Linked DNA regions of Alligator mississippiensis. The protein of the gene in region 1 interacts with the protein of each later gene in a biochemical or structural test. Links are inferred from orthologs where the notes say so. Each region holds a gene or a part of one and is shown on either strand. Other genes may lie near its edges.

Evidence for each region. The genes of interacting proteins can lie anywhere in the genome.
Region 2: the proteins of RP2 (region 1) and ARL3 form a complex in vitro, tested with the Homo sapiens proteins (2 studies listed by BioGRID). The link is inferred for Alligator mississippiensis from reciprocal best matches to the Homo sapiens genes RP2 and ARL3.

What each region holds. Positions count from the first base shown.
Region 1 is NC_081824.1:338,479,070-338,486,014, forward strand, and holds the start of RP2 (protein XRP2), read right to left. Parts: upstream 3,009-6,945; 5' UTR 2,941-3,008; coding exon 2,827-2,940; intron 1-2,826. UniProt on the Homo sapiens protein: Acts as a GTPase-activating protein (GAP) involved in trafficking between the Golgi and the ciliary membrane.
Region 2 is NC_081829.1:99,164,119-99,171,556, reverse strand, and holds the start of ARL3 (ADP-ribosylation factor-like protein 3), read right to left. Parts: upstream 3,012-7,438; 5' UTR 2,909-3,011; coding exon 2,906-2,908; intron 1-2,905. Other genes in the region: SFXN2 (sideroflexin-2), read left to right, coding at 6,059-6,088, 6,375-6,547, 7,008-7,178. UniProt on the Homo sapiens protein: Small GTP-binding protein which cycles between an inactive GDP-bound and an active GTP-bound form, and the rate of cycling is regulated by guanine nucleotide exchange factors (GEF) and GTPase-activating proteins (GAP).

The DNA of each region.
Region 1 (6,945 bases):
TACTTCCCTCCTGCCCTTGCTTTGAGAATTATCTGTAGCTACAATTGTATTAGGCTCATCATCACTGTTAGCAAGATTCAGTTGACTAGTTCAACTGCTATAATTTTAAATGAATGTTTGGGTAGCTGCACTACCTTTCACCTACAGCTCAAAGTGATCCTGGCTTACTTTAAGTTCAATTTATTGCTGTTGTGTGGAAACTGCCAGGAGCAGTGAAGTTTGCCCCTTTCCTTTTACTGTACTACTCAAGCTGTACTTACAAGTCTCCCCTAAAAACAGATCAGCATTTTATCTTTGCACACACTGACTGCCCGAACAAGCTTTTCATAGACTTAACCTCATAGCTTGGCCTAATCCCTCTGAAAGCTTGAGGTGACACACTGAGGCATCTAGCCAAGTTTAAAACTGTGAAGTACATACAGCAACGGGCTTGCACCTTTTCCCCCCCTCTACAAGGGAAGGTGACCTATGGTTTTCATTTGTTTACTTGTTTGTATATGTGGGGTTAACAAGAAAACCTCTGAATTGCCTTCTTCCTGAGCAAGCAGAAAGGCTAGGGAAGAACAGAGCATCAGTAGAACAACAATATCACAAACACCAAGTAAAATCTGCAGCAAAAGGGGTACATGTGTAAAAAACAAGAGAGTCAGACTCAAGTTTCCACTCTATACCTTGTTATCTCAATTTCTTCTTAACAGCTGAAGAACATAAGAACTGCCATTTACTAGGTCAGATCACAAGTCCATCTTGGCCAGCATTCTGTCACACACACACCTCACTCCCATCCCCGCTTTCTTTAGTGGTGCCTTGTAATCGCTTGATGTGCACCCTGTAACCCCAAGATTAAAGGGGGCTTTCAACTTCACCTGGTAGGCACTGGCCCATGTCCCCACTGCACATCAAACAGGTCTGTCACACAGTAGCAGAGAGTAGATGCTGAAAGAGAAGTGAACTGGGTATGACCAGGGTTTTCTGCTCCGCCCAAATCTGTTTCTCTGTCACATGCAGCCTCCAGCAGTTAAGGTCTGGGAAGTTATGATTCAGAAGCTGTATCCCTCACTCCCATGCTCAATAGCTACCCTTTCCTCCAAGGATTTCTCCAATCCCCTTCTAGCTTTGCTGCTGGCTGTCCTATCTGGCTACGCTGCCAGCTTCCATCACATCTGGGAATGATGAGTCCCATCCTTGTATTACAGGCAGGGTGAAAGACAACTTCCTTTTGCAAGTTTTTCCAACTTGCTACTTGCTTTAAAGATCGCAGCCACTTCCATCCCCCTGAGGAATCAGCTAACACCAAGAAGCATCTTCCCCTACAGGACAACTCTCCACCAAGCTGCCACACAGGCACAGGGAAGCCGGGCTGGAAAGGATCTCCAGAGGTCCTCTACTCCAGTGGTTCTCAACCTTTTTGTACCAGGATCCAATGTCAATTTTGAGTTACTTTTTATCATCTGAACATTGGGAGTTTTTTTAGTCAGAGAAAACCAGGATCCCTAATGATAGCCATGTCCATCCCAGCAGCTCCTGCCACCCTCACTTTGCCAGTCTGGAGCAGGGTGGATTTGATTTGAACCAAATTGATTTAAGTGGTTGAAATTATGATTTAAATCACCAGTCAGAAAGCCTCAATTTAATCACTGTTTTCTACAAAAAGTGCATTCTTCTTGTTCAATATCCTTTATTCATTTAACTTCTTGAAACTTTGCACTTTTAGAGAGAACTAAAGGCTTGACTGTGTACACAAACTTGCAGAGAGACAAGAGGGCTAATGGGTGGTAGTCAGGTCTGTTCTCTCATCTCCATATACTGCTGTAAACAAGGATATTCTCTCTGGAGACACTGATCTACAGCCTGAGAACTGAAACTAAGCATCACAGAGATGCTTCATGAGATCCTCTAGACTGAGCACCCATCAAGTCCTATTAGGTAGAGTGGTTTTACGCAGACTCACAGAAATGTAGGGCTTCTTTAATCTTTGCTCATCCATACAGGAGCCTCTGGGAACCCCATAAGATTGAGCCCCTGACTTAGTCCCTGGCCTGTTGTAAGCTATTTGTAAAACTTTTCTAAAAAAGTTACCTAAATGCATGGTCTCAACCAGCACACAATTAGAAGTTATCATCCCAATTCCATGACAGGGTTGCCAACTCTGACTGAAGCTATTCCAGGAGATTTTTTTACCCCCAACAAAACGTAATGTCATTAGTTGTACCGCTTGACCCATTTACAATATCAATCTCCCAGGTTGCTTTTAATAGTCACCGGGAGATAGATGGCTGGGAACATACTTGGCAGCCCAGGAGGGTTGGCAACCCTATCCCATGATGATATCTTCAAGCTTTAACATATGTTAAATTAAACCTATCTTTATATATGCTTTTTTTTTTAAAGCACGTTAACAAAAGTTACAAAAAAAAAATCTGATAAAAAAAATCAGAATTTTAATTTTTTTTTTTTTTAATCGTTGGAGTTGGGTGCACCCTGGTCTGGAGTCACACCTCTGCCACTCCCTGCCAGGGCAGAGTCCCCAGCTCACAAGGTGTGTGTGTGTGTGGGGGGGCAAGCTCCCCATGCCAGGGGGCGCCCCCAGCCCACAGCTGGCAGGGAGGTCACGGCCCCACAGGTGCGGGGCGGGGCGGGGGTTGTGACGCCACCTACCAACCGCCGCCCGGGTAGCCGCCTACCGGCTGCCGCGAGCGCACGGAGAGCCCCCGGGGGGGGTGACGTCAGCGCCCACCGCCGCCCGGTGAGCGCGCTGCCCAACGGCTGCCACGAGCCGCCCCCGCAGCGGGGGGCAGGAGCGAGGTGCAGCGGGGCGGGCCGTACCTGGGGGCGCTGGTCCCAGCTGTACCGCGGCTGCGTGTCCTCGCTCCCCGCTCCAGTGTCTGAGGGCAGTGGCGCCTTGCCCGGCTTCCGCCGCTTAGAGAAGAAACAGCCCATCGTGCCGCCGCCACCACTGCCGCCGCGCCCTGCCTTCACGTAGCCGCTCCAGTGGCTACTTCCGGCTTCGGGCGCACACCCTCCCCGTCTCCCCTGGCGACCACGGTCCCGCCCCCCGCTCTTAACGTTAACCAATGGGCACACGGCATTCCCGCGCCCTACTCACCAATCAGCTTTGTGCCGCCGAGATCAAGCCCCGCCCCCTCTCTCCCAACCCCCCCGACCAATGGGCAGATGGCGCTCTCCAGCCCTGTCCACCAATCAGCAGTGCCCCCCTGGGCTCAGTTCCCGCCCCCCAGGACTCGCTGCAGCTCTAAGCGTTGTGGAAGAGCCTGCAGACCCTCTTAAAGGGACAGGCTTTCCCTGCCCACGGCCAGAGGGTGGGGTTGTGTAGTGAAAAGGGATCTTGGTTCTCTCTGGTAAAAACAATCGCTACTTTTCAGGTTCAAGGAAGTAATCCAAAATCCACATTTTTCCATGATTAAAATGAACCGCCACTAATACATAGATATCTCTATATCAATAAAGATATAGATCTCTATATAGATATATATAATATATATCTCTATGTATTAGTGGCATTTCATTTTTATATCTCTATGTTTTCATAGAGTGTTTCATTTCACCCAATTTCATTTTCACTTCATATATTTATATAGATATCTAAATCTAGATAGATAAATAGTGGTGTTTCATTTTGATCATGGAAAAATGTGGATTTTGGGTTACTTTTCTTAATCTGAAAATTGCAGATTTTTTTTCAGAGAAAATCTAACCCAGGAGGTGCACAGTCCCACCAGGGGGAATGCCCTGCTGGACCTGGTCCAGGCAACAGGCGACGACCTGGTGAGGGGACTCCAGGTTCTCGACCACCTGGGCGACAGCGATCATCACCTACTGGAACTCACCATCCAGTACAGGGTGTCAAGGGCCTGCAGCAAGGCAGTAGCCCTTGATTTCAAGAGGGCCAACTTCAATGACTTGAGGAGATTGGTAGGAGAGGCACTGAAGTCCTGGAGGGTAGGGGAACTGGGTGTCCACAACGAGTGGTCATTCCTTAAGGAGACAATCCTCCGAGCTCAGGGGTGACAGTTCCAATGAGAATCAAAGGGGGAAAGAGTGCTCAAAAGCTCCCCTGGCTCGCCAAAGGCATTCAGGAATGCCTGAAAGCCAAAAAGGAGGTGTACATCCAGTGGAAGGGAGGGGCTATCACCAAAGAGGAGTATACCTCCATCGCTCAGGTTTGTTGTGGGGCTGTTAGGCAGATACAGAACTAGGGCTTGCATCAAGGATCAAGGACAACAAAAAGTCCTTTCTTAAATACATAGGGAGTATGAAGAAGGCACCTGGTAACGTGCGGCCCCTGCAAGATATGCTTGGCAATCTGATCGTTGCACCAGAGGAAAAGGCAGACCTTTTTAACAAATTCTTTGCCTCCATGTTTTTGTGCAGGGACCAGGACACCTCCCCCACTGGGATTCAGGAGGGATCAGGACGGACTCCACCAGGCCTAGGTCAGGGAGGACCGAGTTAGGGAACTTCTGGAGGGGCTGGACGTGTTCAAATCAGCAGGTCCAGATGCTCTCCACCCCAGGGTTCTGAGGGAATTGGCAGGGGTTATCGAGGGGCCCCTGGCATGGCTTTACGAGCACTCGTGGTGCTCTGGCCAGGTGCCAGAAGACTGGAAGAAGGCCAGCCTGGTCCCCATTTTCAAAAAAGAGAGAAAAGAGGACCCGGGCAACTATAGGACCATTAGTCTTACTTCGATCCTGGGGAAGCTCTTTGAGAAAATTATCCAGGAGCACATCTGTGAGAGACCAGTAGGGGGGATGATGCTCAGGGGCAACCAGCATGGCTTCATTAGGGGCAGGTCCTGTCAGACCAACCTAATTGACTTCTATGATCAGGTCACAAAATCATTGGATGCAGGTGTCGTGGTGGATGTAGTCTTTCTGGACTTCAGGAAGGCCTTTGACACTGTCTCCCACCCCATTCTCATTAAAAAGCTAGGCGACTGTGGCATTGATGCCTACACAGCCAGATGGGTTGCAAATTGGCTGAGGGGCCGCACCCAGAGAGTGGTGGTGGACAGGTCATATTCAACCTGGAGGGATGTGGGCAGTGGAGTACCCCAGGGCTCGGTCCTCGGGCCCGCACTGTTCGATCTCTTTATTAGCGATTTGGACAAGGGAGTGAAAAGCACCCTGTTCAAATTCTCTGATGACACCAAGATTTGGGATGATGTGAGCACGCTAGAAGGGAGGGACAGGATACAGCTGTACCTGGACAGGTTACAGGGGTGGGCGACTGAGAATAGGATGGGATTCAATACTGACAAGTGCAGGGTGTTACACTTGGGCAGTAAGAACCAGCAGCATACCTATAGGCTGGGGAACTCCCTTCTTGTAAGCACAGTGACAGAAAAGGATCTTGGAGTCATTATCAATTCCAAAATGAACACGGGCCGCCAATGTGAGGACGCGGTCAGTAAGGCTAACCATACCTTGTCATGCATCCACAGATGCATCACGAGCAGGGCCAAGGAGGTGATCCTCCCCCTCTGTGTGACACTGGTCAGGCCACAGTTGGAGTACTGCATCCAATTCTGGGTGTCGCACTTTGGGAAGGATGTGGCCAGCATTGAGAGGGTCTAGAGGGCACTCGCATGATCTGGGGACAGCAGGGCAGCCCCTACGAGGAGAGGCTACAGGACCTTCTCACTTCACAAGAGAAGGCTGAGAGGGGACCTGGTGGCCATCAATAAACTCACCAAGGGGGACCAGCAGGGAATGGGAGAAACCCTGTTCCCCCGAGCACCTCCCGGAGTAACAAGGAATAATGTCCATAAGTTGTTTGAGTGTAGGTTCAGGCTGCACATTAGAAGGCACTACTTCACAGTCAGGGCAGCTAGGATCTGGAACCAACTTCCAAGGGAAGTGGTGCTGGCTCCTACCTTGGGGGTCATTAAGAGGCGGCTTGATAATTACTTAGCTGGGATCATATGACCCCAGTATTCACTCCTGCCCAGGGCAGAGGGTCAGACTTGATGATCTACTTAGGTCCCTTCCGACCCTACAACTATGAAACTATGAGACAGAAATCAGTTGCTCAAACTGTTCCTTGAATTTCCTCTCTCCTTGTTTTTCTTTTTGGAGAAGGGAGGGGCCGGGTGGGTATCAGAAAGTGGGATGGCGTGGAAGAGTTTTTGCAAAAGAAGTCCCTGGTTTCTCTCTTCCCCTGGCAACTTTCCAGCATTTTGCACTGTGAGGTTTCAGAACAATGGCTCATGTCAGGAAGAGTACCATGCAGTTCAGCCCACTGCAGCCCTAGATAAGAGTCCAGCAATTAGAAATCATAGAGAAGTGGGGCTGGCAGGTTCCTCCAGAGGTCTAGTCCAACCCCCCACCTGAGGCAGGATCATCCCTGTCCAAACTATCCCATATAAATCCATAACCTAAGCTTCCATCAACCCTGACACAAGTCGAGTCTTTAACTGCACACAGGTGCAGTCAGATCTCCCTCCAGATCTGATATGTCCAGGGGTGTTTCCCTTTCAGAGGCCTGCCAAGTCCAGAGGCCTGGGAGCAAGGCTCTTTCAAGCCATGTGCATAACTTGGCTCTTATGCGAGATGGATCTCATCCACCACAGGGCTCCAGTTCCCACCCATGCCTCCCCCTTGCCCCAGCCCACCTGGAGCATCTCCCCAGCCTTGCCCAGTTTTTGAGAAGATGCCTGAAAATGACATTGAAAATGCCCCCTCAACACCCCTGTAGGAGGAAGTCTTGTATTGGAAAGATCAGAAAGCTTGTCTAACTTCATTCCCACCCCCACCCACCACGTATTTGATCCAATAAAAGATATTGTCCCCACCATGTAATTTCTGGTGCATCACAGCTCCCTGTTGCCGGCAGTCCCTCAATATGAGAATGATCTCTACCACAGTTCATGGATGGGTCTTGAGGTGACTTTTTAACCCAATACTTGAGCCACATGCACATCTACAG
Region 2 (7,438 bases), on another chromosome or scaffold:
TCCTCCCGGGTATGGAAGAAAGCACCGATGTTTCTGTTTAAAGGCTGGCATCATGGACTGCCGGGGGTGGGAGATGATCTAGGAAGCCGGTGAATGGATGTAAAGGACCAAAAATGATGGGTCTTGAACAGGACCTTCGTAGCAGCGCTCTGGGTGGAATATGAGCGCAGCAAAACTCAGGCTTGTCGTGGCTAGGGGAAAGGGTGGCAGAGAGGTTAGGATGTGACATAACCATCAGTGAGAGAGTGCCATTTTCTGGATGAAGATATTGCAATATATATTTATATGGCACAGTTTCAAAAAAAATTCAGAACCCAGTATTGAATATTATGTGCCGTCTTAAGAGAGAAACAGAGCAAGCTGGAAATGAGGGAAAGTTACCACCATAACCTTCAGAGAATAAGGATGTGTGGTTGAGGGAAAGCATGTCATTTCTAGGTTTTAAAATACCCACAGAATCACCAAAGGACTTTTTGTTACAGCTCCATGCAGTAATCCTGTTTTCTTTAGGAAAAAAGCTACACGTATATAAAAATGCAATGACATTTATAGACCTAGCTATGGGGTTTGCGGGTTTATTCAGCTTTAAATCCAAGCTGTATGGCTTTCTAGAACTAGCTGATGCATGTAACTGCGTTCAGTGCCACAGAAGCAGTTCAAAGCAAGATTCACATTTATAGGCCAAATAAGAAATTAGTCTTGGGGGAAGAGAGCATTGAAATAACCTGTGTAAATATCCTCTTGGAACGGAGGATATAAAGGGTGTAATGGAGGGAACAATCTCCTGTTATGTTCTGAGCTTAAAGATGGGGCCTTGCAGTCAAAAGAGAGCAGAGAGTCGCGTCCCTAGAAGTAAATAGCTTCTCTTTAGCTGCATTAGCCGCAAAGCTCAGATAATGAATATAAAATATAACTGCTGGGAAACCTGCCCTTGGTTACCAATAAATGTTTGCCGAGCAGATGTGGCATTAACGACAGCTCCAGCGAAGTCTGCTCAAGTACAGGCCTACTGCAAAGAGTTTCGCTACCCAAACCATCGCTTGGACCACGTCGACTCCTCTCCTCGCGTCTTCCGCTGGCTCCTACCCCTCCGTCTCATGAAGCGCAAACTATTTGTCTGTACTTTCAAGGCCCTTCATATCCTCTTTGCCGCTGCGATGTCAAGCCCAGTTCCAGCCTCCATCCCCAACTGATTACATTTCAAGCCGGCGCCTCTGCTGCCAGATGCTGGGGGAGGCCTCCTCATAAAACAGCCTCCTTCTCCACCTTGACGTCGATGCCTAAAAAACTTTGTCCTCTTCCCAGGAGCTGAACTGCTGTCACCACCGCCGACCACACTGACCCGACTGTCTCGCTGCTCCCTGGACCTTGCAATGCGTCTGTAGCCCTACGTGGTCGTTAGCCTCATGGGTAGACTGTACGCCGAGTGGGGCAGAGACCGTCTCTCTACTGTGTGTTTGAGCAGCATGGACTCTCGATCCGCAACCTAGGAGCCCCGATCACGGACTACGGTAGGCAAGGAGGGTCTTTGGAGAAGGTGTGGCTGGATTTACACCGGACTCACCAGCCGTTTCGGGCAAATGGTGTGTTGTACCCAATCTCTCGCCGTCAGCCGCAGTTCACGTGCGGCGCATCATTATGCAACGCGTGTGGAGGGGGGGGAATCCTTCCCGACGGCGGCACCTGACTGACTGATGCCCGGATGAATGACGTTTGATTGCCTTTCTCCGAGCCCGCATCGCCACAATGTTCCTAACGGTCATCCAATCACCCAGCCTTTTTCGAAATACAACCACAGTAAATTAATCTATTGAGCGCACTTTATTCAGTACTTCTTACGCTGGCAAAACTCCCAATGAAGTCATTAGCTTGCTGTGTCTCCACCATATGGTGTCATTCAATGCGGGCAATTTCTTTCCGTGCCGAAGTCTAACATTTGCCGGATTCAATTCACCTAGACAGCTTTCCCCGCTCAAACCCACTGACGCAGCTTTCTGTCAAAAGAGGTCACACGCCGGTTTCTCTTTTGCCGCCCTGCAAGAGAGCTACATCTCCAGCTTTTGCACGTGCAAAATTAAACGGGCTCTACGAAAACAGAGGGGAGGGGGGAAAAAAAAAAGTCGAGGAAGCCGAGCGGAGGAAGTCTGGGCAGATTTCCATAGGAAGAAAGCTCGCGCGTGAAACCTGCATCTACGCGCTTCAACCGGGACGCTGCCAACCTGCTCCTTTCCCCGCGTGAAACGTAGGTCTCTTTTCTAGAATACCGACACGTTTTCTCCGGCCGTACCTTGACGGCTACCGGCGGTCGGCGCCAATTTTAAGACCTAATTAAAGCAAAGGCCTGACGTAACGGGCTCGTACGAGGAGGAGAAAGTCGCGGAGCTCCTCGGTCCGCTCTCCAGGCGTCCTCGAGGGACGCCGGTTTTCAAGTCGTGTCTCCGGCAGCTCGCGGTCGGGGGCGACGATCCCCGAATCCGACGCGGGGTGTTTTGCGGGGCCGGCTGATGCCTGCGACTCGGTGTTGCCGTCTGTGAAATGGACCCTGTTCCCGAACGCCGCGGCACGGTCCTGTCTCGGACGGACGCCGGTCACCGCCGCCGCGCGCGGAGGGAGTCCTCTCCATACCAGCCTTCCCTCGGCGCAGAGAGAAACGGCGCGTGCCGCCCCGTCGCCGCCGGCGGACATAGGACGGCGATGCTGCCACGCCGCCCGCCCGCCCACCCGTGGGGTTTGGTCACGACAACCCCACTGCCACTGCCACCCCGCCGCCGGGAGCCCCTCCCCCAGCCCTGGCGGGGGCCCGCTCCGTGCCCCGCTTCCCTGGCGGGGCCCCCGTGCCGCCCCTCCCCTCCCCTCCCCTCCCCCGCCCGGGCCCGGGCCCGGCCCGCGCCCCCCCGGCACTCACCATCCTCTACGCGGCTCCCGGGTTACCATGGGCAACTGCGTCATGCACGCCGGCGCCGCCGACGTCTAGCGTCACCCCCCCCCCGCCGCCGCCGCGGTGACGCAGGCACGCAAGGACGGAACGTGCGCGAAGCGGCGCGTGGAGGAGGAGTAGGAGGAGGAAGGGGTGGGGAAGGCCAGCCCCGCCCCCTCCCGGGCTGTGAAGCGGGCGCATGCGTGTTGGGCGCTGGAGGCGGGGTGGGGTGGGGTGGGGCGGGGTGGCTGCGGGGCGCTGATTGGCCGGGGCGGGCCACGCCGGCGGCGCCCACGTGGGATGGAGACGCGGCAGGTAAGGGGGGCAGCGCGTGCAGTGCGGGGGGAGGGGGGTTGCAGTGCGCCGGTGTAGTGCGGCACGTGCCAGCGATGCGCAGGTGGGCCTGTGCAGCGTTGGCTTGTGCAGCGTGGCCTTGAGCAGCACGTGCCAGCGATGCCCAGTGTGGGCGCAGTGCTGGCGTGTGCAGTGCTCGACAGTGCAGTGCGCCAGTGAAGCGTGGTGGGGCCCCGCGCAGCGCCCGGGGCGAATGTGGCTGCTGTGGCGGGGGGGTGCAGTGCAGCGCAGTGCAGCGCAGTGCACACCCAGGGGTGGGGGAGCCCAGGGCTACCCCTCGGGGTGCTGCACATCCCCTCCGCCAGGCCTCCAGCCCCTCGCCCTCGCCCGCAGCGTTTTGACGGCGCCCCCCGCCTCGTGGGGTGGCGTGCGGACCCTGTTGCCAGCCCCGTTTGCGGTCAGCGAGCGAGCGAGCGAGACCCCCGCCCGCCCGGCGCGCTGGGCAGTAACCAGGGGGTTAATCTTGACTCGCAGGCCGGACCCGCCCGTCCGGGGTTCACGGGGCTGACCGCGTCCCCAATTAGTAACCAGGCTTTGCAGGGGATGGCGGGACGCTGGGCGCCTTTTGCCCCCGCGGGCACCGGGACAGGAGCGGGGTCAGGGGCCCTCGCGACGCCGTCGCTTCACCACCCCCGTCCCCGTGAGAGCAGGCCGGGCCGCTTCCCAGCTCTGCTACTGCCCTCCTGGGTGTCCCGAGGCATGTCCCTTAATCTGCCTGTACCCCGGGCACGGAGCAGGACCTAGCCCCGGTTGGCCGCTGCCTCTTCTACGATTTCCCCCGTCTGAAACGGGCGCAGGCTGCGCGTCCCCTCTTCCAAGTGCCTCGTGAGGATCCTCGGGGTCCCGTCAAGTGCCCCAGAGAATTGCGAAAGATGCAGCATTTCCCAGGCAGTGATGGCGCTTTATAAGTCACCTTTTTTTTGCATTCATCCAGGGAATAATTAACTTTCTCTAAGACTCGGTGTGTGCGCAGCTGGCGAGCTCCAGCTAAGAGCCGGCAGCTGGGACCGCGCTCACGGTAAGTCAGCTTGAAACCTCCTCCTAGCCTGGGAGTTTTTGGCATGGGGCTGTTCCCAGTGCTTGGATCCCAGGATCTTCCCCCTGCTCCCAACCATTAGCCGTTGGCTATTTCGTCCGGTGCCGCCACCTCCAGAGCGCTGCAGGCAGCGGTTGGTGGTTGCAGCCAGCTCTGGGGAGGCAGGTGAGTCTCCTCGTTGCAAGGAGCCGTAGGGAAGTGGGGATGTCCCAGGTCGCAGTGAAACCCCTCCCAGGCCCACGTTCTCGCCATTGCTGCCACACTAGACCTCAAACACGATCCTACTTCGTGTTGACCCTACGAGGATCGTGGAATCAGCAACGTGGCAGGTTCCCGCTGGAAATGTTGGGGCTCGTTGTGAAGTATCCGTGGCAGATGGAGCTTGTAACCTCTGCAGACCCAACAACGATATCCGGGACACTTAAAGGAGTGCATGGGACTGGAGGGCAGCTGCAGTGTCTGAAAGCCCTGCCTGGGACAGCGTCGCTGGCCTCAAAGGAAAGGATCGGAGGGCTCTCGAGCTCTTTCAGCCCAGGCTGCAGGGTCCCCAGCGAAGCACCCACAGCCGTGGGGGGGCTTTAGGATCGGGGGCCTGCGAAACATTAAACCAAGGTGGTGAAGCAGTCAGGCCGGGAGGTCCAAGGGAAGGTTTCTTTCTCAGGGTTGCAGAAGTGTCGGATCTGGCTCCATATTCAGTATTACCCCCCAGCCATGGCTTGGTTAGACCCGTGATTCCCACCCGGGTGCTGCAGCAGCTTGGGGGTCCCGTGAGATCCTTGTAAGGGTGGCGCGCAGCATTGCAACTGCCTACGTGTGATTTACAAGCTCGGCCCAGATTTCAAATAAAAATCTGTAGTGCCAAACCCCTTTGGCAGTGGGGGGCTGTCTGAGCCGTTTTGTAGTCGTGAGGGGCTGGATGCTCGAGAGATCCCAGGCAGAAGCCATGCGCCGTGCTATGGAGAATGACCATCCCCTCCCAGTCCGTACCAATTTGATCATGGTGGGGAAAATTCCTTCCTGACCCCAAATGGGATCAGTTTGAGTAGAGGGGCCCGATGATGGGCTCAGAGGGCTGGTTTAAGAGCTCTGTGATATGCCCCTGCTTCAGCTCTGCTTAGCCAGCGAACACGGTGGCTACATGGCCACCTCCGTGCCAGCAGCTCTTGGATCCTGGTGCCATGATGGGGATCTCGGTCCCTGTTTGTAGGGAGCAGCTCCCGAGTGGGATAAAAGTCACGGCCTGTGCTGGGCACAGAGTCATAGTGAGGTCGGGCTGGCAGGGCCCTCTGGTTGCCACGTCTGGTCCAGCCCCGTCTGAATCATCCCTGTCTACGAGGCACGATGGAAGCTGGTGGGTTGTATTGGTTTGTTAAGAGCTGGCTTGCAATCGCCCCCATCGCTGCACATCAGTCCCTATAATAAAGCTTAGGTGGTGATGCACCAGGGATGGTGCACAGGTGAAAGCTGCTGTGTCCCCCTCCAGCTGCTTGGAGCTACTGGCACCCTTGACCTCCTTGGTCAATGGACTTGGCCATTTTGACCTTGACCTTGGACACGGGAGCTGGTGTCGTGCTGGAGCGGGAGCCTAGCGGGGATTGCTGCCTGCACAGAGGCCGAGCCCCAGGGGCTCTGACCCCATGCTAGGCGCTGTGCAGATATGTGACCGTGGACCTGTCCATGTTACGCTCGTGCCCAAAGGAGGATTTTGCCGATGGACCTACCTCGGCTTGGGTGGGGTGCAATACTTCGTCATGGCCCTGAACCAACAGGAGATGGCAAAGGTGGGGTTGGCTTGATGCCTTGTATGGTAGGGGCTGAAGTCGGGGTCTGGGTCCCTCTTTGCTGGGTGAACACCAGCAAGCCCTACATCGCCATGCTGGGAGAGTCTCGCAGTGCGGACGAGCCCATGACATGGGCTTATTCACTGCTTCTCTCTCTCCCTGGGCTTCTGCGGGGTGGCCTGGGACGGGGGGCGTTACCAGAGACAGGTTGGTTGCGGAGGCTGATCTCTGGGCAGTGTCGGGCATGGGAGAGCGGGGTCCGTTTACCAGTGCTCCCCTTCTCCAGCTCCGCCTTACAATGGCACCCGCTTCGGCCAGCTTCGACATCGATACCCCGCGGTGGGACCAGACCACGTTCGTGGGGCGCCTCAAGCACTTCTTCAACATCACGGACCCACGCACGGTGCTGGTGTCGGAGCAAGAGCTGGACAGGGCCAAGGTGCTCGTGCAAGGCTGCAGGTACACAGCTGGGCAGCCCAGGCGCCTGGAGGCCTTTCTCAGGGCTACACCGTGAACCATTGAGGGGTTGGGATGGGGGCGACACGCAGCACGAGGCTCCTCACTGAGCCCTCCCGGTGGGGGTTCCCATCCAGCCCCCGCGGGTAGGAAAGAGGTGAGCAAAGCCTTGCACTCCTGCCGACGGGGGGAGTTTGAACCTAGGGCTCCGGGGTACCGCGAGATCTGGTGGAAGGAGTCGGGCGGCCTGGCTCCCACGTACTGGAGCACGTGTCATTTGGGTGTATAGCTCCCTGATGCCCCATGGCGGGGGAAACCAGGCTCTCCCAGGGGGAAACCCTTTTTCAGCAGAGCCCTGCCTCAGGCACCTTGGCAGGACATCATGGGTGGAGGATCATGACGGCAGGGCACAGCTGTGCCCAGGTGGGTGCCTCCCAGGTGCTGATGGCTCTCTGGTTGGCAGGGCAGGCGTCGTGCCGCCGGGGACCAGCCAGGAGCAGCTGCTGTATGCCAAGAAGCTCTACGACTCGGCCTTCCACCCTGACAGCGGGGAGAAGATGAACCTCATCGGGAGGATGTCGTTCCAGGTGCCCGGGGGCATGGCCATCACGGGCTTCATGCTCCAGTTCTACAGGTAATGCTCCCTGGACAGGTTGGGAGCCAGGGCGGACGGGGCGGACCAGTGCCCCTTGGTGGGAAAAGGCTGTTGGACGGGATCTCGCCCTCACGGCGTGCTGCAACGTGATGAGCAGGTCTCGCTTGCAGCAGGCGTCTCCTGCATGCCAGGGCGCCCTTCAAGGGGTTGCAGCCTCCTCCCTCTCCTCCCCGTCCTGGCCCAAGCTGTCGTTGCATCCTGCCCTCTCTTCCTCTGCCACATTTCAACATGCCAGCCTT